2 linked regions of the Arabidopsis thaliana genome follow. The protein of the gene in region 2 purifies or fractionates together with the protein of the main gene of each other region. This does not show direct contact. Each region holds a gene or a part of one and is shown on either strand. Other genes may lie near its edges.

The links.
Region 1: the proteins of PSY1 (region 2) and TPST purify together in Arabidopsis thaliana (co-purification; one study listed by BioGRID). This does not show direct contact.

What each region holds. Positions count from the first base shown.
Region 1 is NC_003070.9:2,488,809-2,495,169, reverse strand, and holds TPST (tyrosylprotein sulfotransferase), read left to right. Parts: upstream 1-1,842; 5' UTR 1,843-2,164; intron 2,165-2,201; exon of another isoform or gene 2,202-2,406; 5' UTR 2,407-2,428; coding exon 2,429-2,483; intron 2,484-2,579; coding exon 2,580-2,751; intron 2,752-2,836; coding exon 2,837-2,908; intron 2,909-3,201; coding exon 3,202-3,487; intron 3,488-3,595; coding exon 3,596-3,736; intron 3,737-3,815; coding exon 3,816-3,920; intron 3,921-4,012; coding exon 4,013-4,157; intron 4,158-4,743; coding exon 4,744-4,793; intron 4,794-4,880; coding exon 4,881-4,931; intron 4,932-5,003; coding exon 5,004-5,123; intron 5,124-5,211; coding exon 5,212-5,346; intron 5,347-5,424; coding exon 5,425-5,595; 3' UTR 5,596-5,761; downstream 5,762-6,361. Other genes in the region: AT1G08035 (uncharacterized protein), read right to left, coding at 21-398. UniProt on the Arabidopsis thaliana protein: Catalyzes the O-sulfation of tyrosine residues within acidic motifs of polypeptides.
Region 2 is NC_003076.8:23,698,892-23,701,941, forward strand, and holds PSY1 (plant peptide containing sulfated tyrosine 1), read right to left. Parts: upstream 1,336-3,050; 5' UTR 1,296-1,335; coding exon 1,208-1,295; intron 1,128-1,207; coding exon 988-1,127; 3' UTR 817-987; downstream 1-816. Other genes in the region: AT5G58640 (Selenoprotein, Rdx type), read left to right, coding at 112-430, 507-614; AT5G58660 (2-oxoglutarate (2OG) and Fe(II)-dependent oxygenase superfamily protein), read left to right, coding at 2,618-3,050.

The sequences.
Region 1 (6,361 bases), on a different chromosome or scaffold from region 2:
AACAAAGAAGAAATGTCACGTCAGAAGAGTTTCCGTTGGAATCCTGGATCGATGTTTCTTGATAACTTGGTAAGCTTCATGGGAGCTCCAGGGCAAGCTGCAGAGACAGGTGTGTGAGAACCATAACCAGATTCCTCTGTTTGAAGGCAGAGAACAATACTAAAGATGTTTTGATACAAAGACTCAATGATTTCTTCATCGGAACAAGTAGTAAGAGAATCAATCCTCATGTGATTATTGTAGTGGTCACAGAGTGGAGAAATTGCAATGATTCCACTGTCTCCTTTAGAGATCATAGGAGTTATGGGTTCCACATAACCTGATGTTCCTTCAATGGAGTTTTCTTCATAGTCCATGGTGATGGTGTCACAATATCTGGAAAAAGACAGTAAAACCATACATTCAGACAAAGCCCTTGTAAACGAAACCAGAGGAAGCAACGAGTTTAAAATCCATGATTATTGAATAGTACCCCTAATAAGCTATTTCACAAATTGCGTTAAGTTCGAGAAGAAACATTTAGTCGCATATCGTGATGCCATTAATGAAAGAAAAAAAATCTAATCTAAAAGACAAAAAGATTGCACGACAAATTAGATGATACGAAATCATCGAATTTATTAGAGTTATGGCACTTTTTCAGAAACGATTCAAAAGAGTGAGAAAATCTCTATACCTTTGACTCATGAGGTCTGTAATTTTTTGTTTATCTTTTCTTTTTTTCTTTGACAGCAATTTTTTTTTTTTTTTTTTTTTTGCGATTTTAATATTTTTTATAAACTTAAGAAAATGATAAGCGGAGAAACAGAAGACACTAGGCCCATTTAATTATCAGGCCCAATTGTATTAATATCTTAAACCTTCTTTAAAACCATAAGATTAACACAAAGGTTTACGACTATCCTTCTAGATTTTATTTTCCAAGCATTTTTAATCCTACTGTATTTCTCAAATCTACAACCTTTGATGATTTTTTGTCATCACCAACTTTTTTAAAAAAATAATTCATTTTAGGACATTTCAATCCCAATGGCAATAATTACCCATTTATACGAATTCTAGCATACTAGTTAATGTATAATTACTTTGCTATTTATTGGAAACCTATGGAGGTAATATTTATCTCTAAAGGAATTTATATATATTTTTAGTTAAATACATATTTATTGATATTTTAGGATTACAATAAACATGGCAACAAATTATATTAAAAATTAAAAAACAGATATTTTTATTGTATAGATGAAAACAAACAAGTCATTGCAAAACGAATGGAACGATGACAAGATTGAAAGGAGACAGCATCCGCCATCAGCATGAGACATTTGAACCCACAACATTTTTTTGTAGACAAGTCTGGTCTTTTTACTTAAAGCAAATAAACTCTAGACTTTAGGCCTTATAACATTTAAGCATAAAGTATGGCCACTGTCAGGATTGAACTCTCAAATCTCAACGGAAAACTTTAATGCTCATAAAAATCTGTGAACGAATGATTGAACTGAAGCAATGACTAAGAACAAATGAGTCATAACTCATAACCATGATCCTGTAACTATAAGTTTCCTCCTTGAGGTCTTTCACACACAACGAGGGATGGATGTACATGTCACCAGAAGCAACAAGAAGATCAAGACGCAACTAAAAGGCCAAAAGAAGTGAAGAACAAAATATTACACAAAGAGGGGATGTATAGTTGTATACCCACGGTTTACCGATTTCGGTTTTCGTTCCGATAACCGGTTATGTATTTCATTTTGTATTATATAGAAGGCATTGGTCAAACCGCACTCGAACCAGAAAGGAAAGTGCATTCATACTATTACTGACTAGTGGAAAAAAAAAAAAAAAAAAAGCATTGGTCTCTCTCAAAAAAGATTAATTCGTTTGGCTAAATCAAATTTGACACTAGTGTCTTCCTCAGTGCGTGTTTATAATTTTTCTGGGTGGCGAGAAACCAAGAGAAAATCTCGTGACCCTGTTCTCTCGGGAGCGCACACAATCTCTCTTCTTCTTCGTCTTCCTCCTCCAATCGATGTAATCACACACACACACAAAAACACATCTTTTCCTTGTTTTCGTAGGACCTAGTAGATAGCGAGTTTTGCCCCCAAAACAGCGATCGAGGGAATTTATGAGCACGAGATCTCGATTCCCCATACACGTAGGCCTCTGCTTCTCTCTCTTGTTCCTTTGTTCCTTTCTTTATTCGATTTTCTGGGTCCCTTTTGCCCTGTTTTTCCTCTGTCTCCTTCCCCCAAAATCTTTCGGTTTTGTTTTTATACAACTTGCAACCGTTAATGTTCATCCTCACCGATTGATCACCTACTCTTTTCCCTTCCTGGGTTTTGTTTCTTTCGAATAAAGATTGATCCTTCTTTCACTTATAATCGTTTTGGTAATCAGTAGGGTTTGGAATCGAGGCACAATGCAAATGAACTCTGTTTGGAAGCTGTCTCTTGGGTTATTACTTCTTAGCTCAGGTATGTATGCAGAATGGTTTTACAAAATTGTTCATTTGATAAAAAAGCTGGACTTGTCTCTGATGTTCTTGGAATAATTGGCAAATTATATCTCAGTTATTGGCTCTTTTGCGGAACTTGATTTTGGCCATTGCGAAACTCTTGTGAAAAAATGGGCTGATTCTTCTTCATCTCGTGAAGAACATGTTAATAAAGACAAACGCTCGCTTAAGGATTTGCTCTTCTTTCTCCACGTTCCGCGAACTGGAGGCAGAACATATTTTCATTGGTGATTTGATTTCCTTTACCAAAAAGTTTTTGAGAGATTCTTTTATGATTGTTGTGTGGTTAAGGCTGTGTTTGTGCTCTTGTAGTTTTTTGAGGAAGTTGTATGATAGCTCTGAGGAATGTCCTCGATCTTACGACAAGCTCCACTTCAATCCAAGGTATCTTAATTTCATCAGTGCTCTCGCTAATTGTACGTCTTTATTTGATGCCAAAGACTCTTTCTTGTGGAAACAATAAGATGGCTTACAGAATGCTGTTTGTACATTCTATTGGTTGTTAAGTTGACTTTAGATAGCTTAGCTAGACATATATAAAGTTAAATATTGTTTCATATGAAAATCAATTTTCCCTAGCCTCCTTTACCTAAAGAAAAACAATGTGAAAAAAGTATTTTGCCTGTGGTGTTACTACCTTCGGACAGTTAAGATCGTGTTGACTCGTAAATTTATAGGAAGGAAAAGTGCAAGTTGTTAGCCACACATGATGATTATAGTTTGATGGCAAAGCTTCCGAGGGAGAGAACTTCGGTGATGACAATAGTTCGGGATCCTATTGCGCGTGTGTTAAGCACTTATGAATTTTCCGTAGAGGTAGCAGCTAGGTTTTTGGTGCATCCCAATTTAACTTCTGCGTCAAGGATGTCTAGCCGCATACGCAAGAGTAATGTAATAAGCACACTAGACATATGGCCATGGAAATACCTAGTTCCATGGATGAGAGAAGACTTGTTTGCTCGGGTATGTCGACCTATCCCATTCGTCTTTTTTGGCTTTTAAGCTAGAACATGATAAGAACACATAAAACTTGGGCTGAAGCTTTTTTTACTCATCCTTGGCTTTTCTTAGCGAGATGCACGAAAATTGAAGGAGGTAGTGATCATTGAGGACGATAACCCGTATGACATGGAGGAGATGCTTATGCCTTTGCACAAATATCTTGATGCGCCTACTGCTCATGACATCATCCACAATGGAGCGACTTTTCAGGTACTTTTTCATGCTATTTGTTTAAGTTTTCAAAGTTATTGATTAGAGATCTCCAGAGCATTTTCATTTCACTTCACAGATTGCAGGATTGACAAATAACTCCCATTTATCAGAAGCACACGAGGTTCGGCATTGTGTGCAGAAATTCAAAAGCCTTGGTGAGTCTGTTCTCCAAGTTGCCAAGGTAGTAACACTTCTTCTTCATCATAGTTCACTGCGTCTTGGTATTGTGCTTTTAAAAGCAGCAGATTCTGTAAGCTTTTTTAAATTTTGCAGAGGAGGCTAGACAGCATGTTGTATGTTGGACTGACAGAGGAGCACAGGGAATCTGCATCACTTTTTGCCAATGTAGTGGGTTCTCAAGTGCTGTCTCAAGTGGTTCCGTCCAATGCAACTGCGAAAATCAAAGCTCTTAAATCAGGTTGGTGTAAGTTTCTTAATACCATCGCTGGGCTATCTAAGGAGAATCTAGCAACTTAGTTGAAGGACATGGTGATCATTTTTTTAGTCACAGTGTACAGTTTTTTCAGAGTACCGCTTTGGAGATGGTATTTACTTTAGTTTTTGGCTTTTGAAAGTCAAAACCCGTCATATTATTCATTAAAATGTTTGACTGATATTTTTCATTCACTTTTTAGGAGTTTGATTTTTAATTACCTAGGGAAGCTACTTATTGTTCTCTGTTATTTGGGGATTATCGTATAAGGTTTGATTGTCTTTCATCATGAAGATTTTTCTGATCTATGTTTCTTGTTGTCACATCATCTTTAAAGGTTCTCTTGCCCTCTTTTGTTTTAGACTTGTGTCTTGTTACTCTGGGTCCCTGGGTTTATTAAAGTTTCTTTGTTGGTTAATCATAGTCTCTTAGAGTAAGTAGAATGATGATATGACAGTTCATGTGCATACAGCCTAGGCTTTCTATTGCTTTTGTTGTATTTAAAGTCAGGATAACAAATGGTTGTACTTGCACTCACCAAATTGTCAACTTTATTTCCTTGATGCTTCAGAAGCAAGTGTCACAATTTCAGAAACCGGGTCAGATAAGAGTAATATTCAGGTAAAGTCCTGCTGCAGAAGGTAATAATTTGTTTGTTCAACTGTCATTTTTGTAATTGTCTTGCTGAAAATGGCTGTGACATTACAGAATGGTACATCTGAAGTTACATTGAATAAGGCAGAAGCTAAGAGTGGGAATGTAAGTAGAATCCCTTTTCCAATTTATTATCAACGCTTGAGACCTTGTGTGACTTTTATATATACACTTCAGATGACGGTAAAAACCCTTATGGAAGTCTATGAAGGCTGCATCACTCATTTACGAAAGTCCCAAGGAACCAGACGGGTCAACTCTCTGAAGAGAATAACTCCAGCAAATTTTACAAGAGGGGTAAAGTGTTTTCGTACATGATCTAAACTTAGTAAAGTTAATGAGAGAAGGCTGGAATAATGAAATCTTTTGACAATGCATCTAACAGACGCGTACAAGAGTTCCTAAAGAGGTCATTCAGCAGATCAAATCGCTTAACAACCTCGATGTGGAGCTCTACAAATATGCAAAAGTAATCTTTGCCAAAGAACATGAATTAGTGTCGAATAAGTTGATCTCAAGTGTAAGAAACTTCTTGTCTTCACATTTCGCCTTTTAGTTTCTGTCTGATATAAGACTAAACTCCATGATTCGTGTGCAGTCTAAGAGAAGCATTGTTGATCTGCCGAGTGAGTTAAAGAGCGTATTGGGAGAAATGGGTGAAGAGAAGCTATGGAAGTTCGTACCAGTGGCATTGATGCTTTTATTGATCGTCCTCTTCTTTCTATTTGTAAACGCTAAAAGGAGAAGAACCTCCAAAGTTAAGATTTGATCATTGTCACTATATTTTGGACCAAATCAGCAATTTGAAGAAGCTTTTGGGGTCCAATTTGTAATATTATTCTCTTTCTTTTTCTACTTTTCGTGGAAAAAGAAAAAGTTTTGGGTGTTGCCTTACCTTACAGGTGAAAAAGGGAAAATCACAAGTAAAAAAAAACTCTCTATCTACTTTATTTTAAAAGGCTAAACAAAACAGGTAAAGTCACAAAATTAGTGCTTCTTTTTTTTTTTTTGTTTAAGTGAGCTTAATCAATAAAGATAAAAGTAATAAGATTTCACAATTTTTTTTTTTTTTTTTTTTTGAGAAAGTACACTACTAACTGGTTTGAATTTGACTGTACCATTTTTCACGCAACAGACTGTGTGCAATTTAAAGTACAGTTCATACAAATCTCTATAAAACAAATTGTACAAAAGCAGTAAATATACCCCCACGTGATATTTGTTTTCTTATCAACGACGCAGTGTAAACAATAATATGTCAAAAATTTTGAAGAAAAAATCATATAAACTATATAAGAAGAAAAAATGAAAAGAAATATGAAGATCGTGTATATTAATTTTTTTTTATATAAAAAATACTAATAATAATAATTGATTGATGGGAGGAAGATAGTAAGTGAAAGGGATGAAACATATCATGTGGGAGATGGAAGCAAAGAGTTAGGCAAGGGACCCACTTTCCCATGAGGAAACGCCATAATCATCTTTATTATTATTATTATTTCGGTTCTCGTCTCTTAATCCTTCGTCGGTGA
Region 2 (3,050 bases):
ATGACATGACTTCTTTGGATACTGTTTTGAACTTCTCCGCAAAAGGCATAAGTAACTCTAGCTTTCTTTATCAGTGTGACTGGTGTTCATCCCAATTTTTTTAATTTGTAGGGGAACTGCAGTCACCATGAAGAAGATGTTAGAGACGGCTTTTCCCGGTTTAGATGTGATTCTCGCAAATTACCCACCACCAGCACCAAAACGCCTTCTAGCTAAGGTTGTGCCGGTTGTTCAGATGGGAGTTATTGGTATGATAGTTGCAGGTGATCGTATCCTTCCCATGATTGGAATTACGAACCCACCTGCTTGGTTCCACTCCTTGAGGGCCAACAGATTTGGATCCATGGCTTCCACTTGGCTTATCGGAAACTTTCTGCAGTCTTACCTTCAAAGCTCAGGCGCCTTTGAAGTTCACTGCAACGGCGAACCGGTTAGTAATTAATGGTTTAAGATTATTTCCAGATATGTAAGATCAGTTTGTACTAAATCCTGTGTTTCTATTTCAGGTGTTCTCTAAATTGAAAGAAGGTAGATTCCCAGGAGAGATCGAGCTGAGAGATCTCATCAGTAAAACTCTAACACGACCGAGCATACTCACAGGCAGCAGCTACTGAAGTAGTAGTATCAGAAGATAGAAACGCTGGAACCTTTCCGTGAAGTTCTCACAAGTATTTTTAATACGAGATGGTGGTACAATCTCATGTGCCAAAAGTGTCTTCTATGTTTCAGTTAATCTGTTGATGTAGCATACCTTGGTTTACCTAGAGTGAACTCTTTTGATTCAATCATTTTGCATAGACACAAATTGGAAAATAAGGTACAAAGTCATTGCCATAAGAAAAAAATAAATGAAGTTGTATGGAGATTACGAGAAAATATCTATATAGACAGATTAGAGAAAGCTATATGAACTGAGATTTAATCTCAGACAAACTGAAAATGTAAACAAGAAGAGTTCTTTCCTTCTGCGTTAACTAAAACATTACGTCAGCCTCTGCCGACGACACGTTGGCCGGTTGCTGACGGAGGAACGCCGGGGTCGTGCTTAGGATTTGCAGATGGGTCACCGTAGTCCTCAACGTTCACCATCAACAAACTCCTTTGGAATCCAGAATTCTCAAACCCACCTAATCCAAACGAAATCATTCAGACATAGAGAAAAACATGAACGAATCGAAGGAAGGAAACAAGAAGATGAGATTCGAACCTGAAACGGAAACAGGGTTGCGGGCTAGAGAAGATGTAATTGTAAGCGTCAATAAGAGACACACAAGAAGACGAACTACAAAAGTCATATCTCTCTGTCTGATATAATTAAAAGAATCTTAAAAATGCATCGGTTACAGATTCGTGTCCGTCTTATTTATAAAGAAACGACAACAAGTGTGTGTTTATCCAAACTGATTTTACTTGTCTCAAATCTCAATCAAATATATATACGTTTCTTATAATGCGGAGATGATGAAAACAGGTCAGAAGAGTAAGACCATGTAGATGACGACACGTGTCAGCTAAGAAGGCGGGAGTGGGAGGTGACGTGTGCAACGCGTGGTGCCACGTATGTCACATCAAGGCCAAGCAAGTGGAAGTGTGGAGGCACACAAGACAGTGATTGTCATTTTGTGCAAATCGTCAACGCTTATTACCAAATTTTAAGATCATTTTACCAATTTCTCCCACTCCCAAACTTTTTTGTTGACTTTTTTCTTTCTCTTTATGGGGTTTCCTCGAACTTCTCGCCAGAAAATAATAATTTATAGCTCACTCTCCTCACTGTTCTTTCTAAACGAGGACAAAACATGTTTACTACATTTCCAAAAGTCAAAATATGTTCATGAGACAGTTTTAACCAAAGTAAGTGAAATTCGTAATGAGATTGGTACTTCACCGATTATGCCTTACCATGCATTGTACTGCCCTCCAGTAATTGTATTTAGAAAAATCTTTTATTTTTAATGTAGTTGTATAATTTGCTACAAAGATTTTCCGTGGGTTCTATTGGGCTCCTTAAAACCTCATATTGGATCCGACTAATGGTGATTGGTGATACGCATCAAACATGCTCTCGTCAAATTGATAGATTTTTGGTTTCTGTTGGATGAATTCAAAATATATAAGAAGAAGTAGACAAGATTATTTACAATATAATACAGTACATATTTACTCTACATCTGCTTATATAATTTCGTTGTATAGCAGTATCGGTATAATTACGAATAAGTTCTTTTAATTTTCATTTAAAAACCAAAAAATGTTTTGATTAATTTAGAAAAATATTGAAACTTTACGAGAGATGGGCCGACAAGTAAGATTAAATGGTACACGTACCCACATCGCATGCAACTTGGTCTCTTCGTTTATACAGAATCTATGCCTTATTTGTGTTACAGACATAAATCCGTGACAAGTGACATCAATTCATTAGGGAATATTATATTATAAGGAGGTGTTGATCTATAGATATATATATTATGGAAAATTTATCATTTTTTGGAACGTAATCCTTTGTAACTAAATGCACCTATAGATACACATCAAACACTTCATTTGTTTTAAGTAATTTAATAGACTTTTTAAAGGATAAAATCGAAAGAGATCTCAAGAGAAATAGGGAGAGATGAGCATCAGTGAGTCATATCCACCGGCTTTCCGGCGTGTAACCAACGACGAAAATCCTCCAGCAACACCGGTTATTGTCCAGGGCAAGGATATCAATATCCCGGTTATCGATTTGGAACGTTTGGACAAGGAGATACTGAGAGAGGCATGCAAGGAGTGGGGAATATTCCGTCTAGAGAATCACGGAGTACCGTTGGCGTTAACGTCACGGCTTCAAGAAATCTCGGAGTCATTACTGAGTCTTCCGTTTGAGAAAAAACGGGAATTGTTCGCTGCCGTTAAATCTCCGTTATCGTATTTTTGGGGAACACCAGCTCTAAATCGTTCAGGAGATGCACTAAAGAGAGGAGCTCAAGCTTCGAACTTAACCATGCTCGAAGGTTTCAACGTTCCTCTCTCGTCTCTCTCGTCGCTCTCGAAGCTTCCAACTT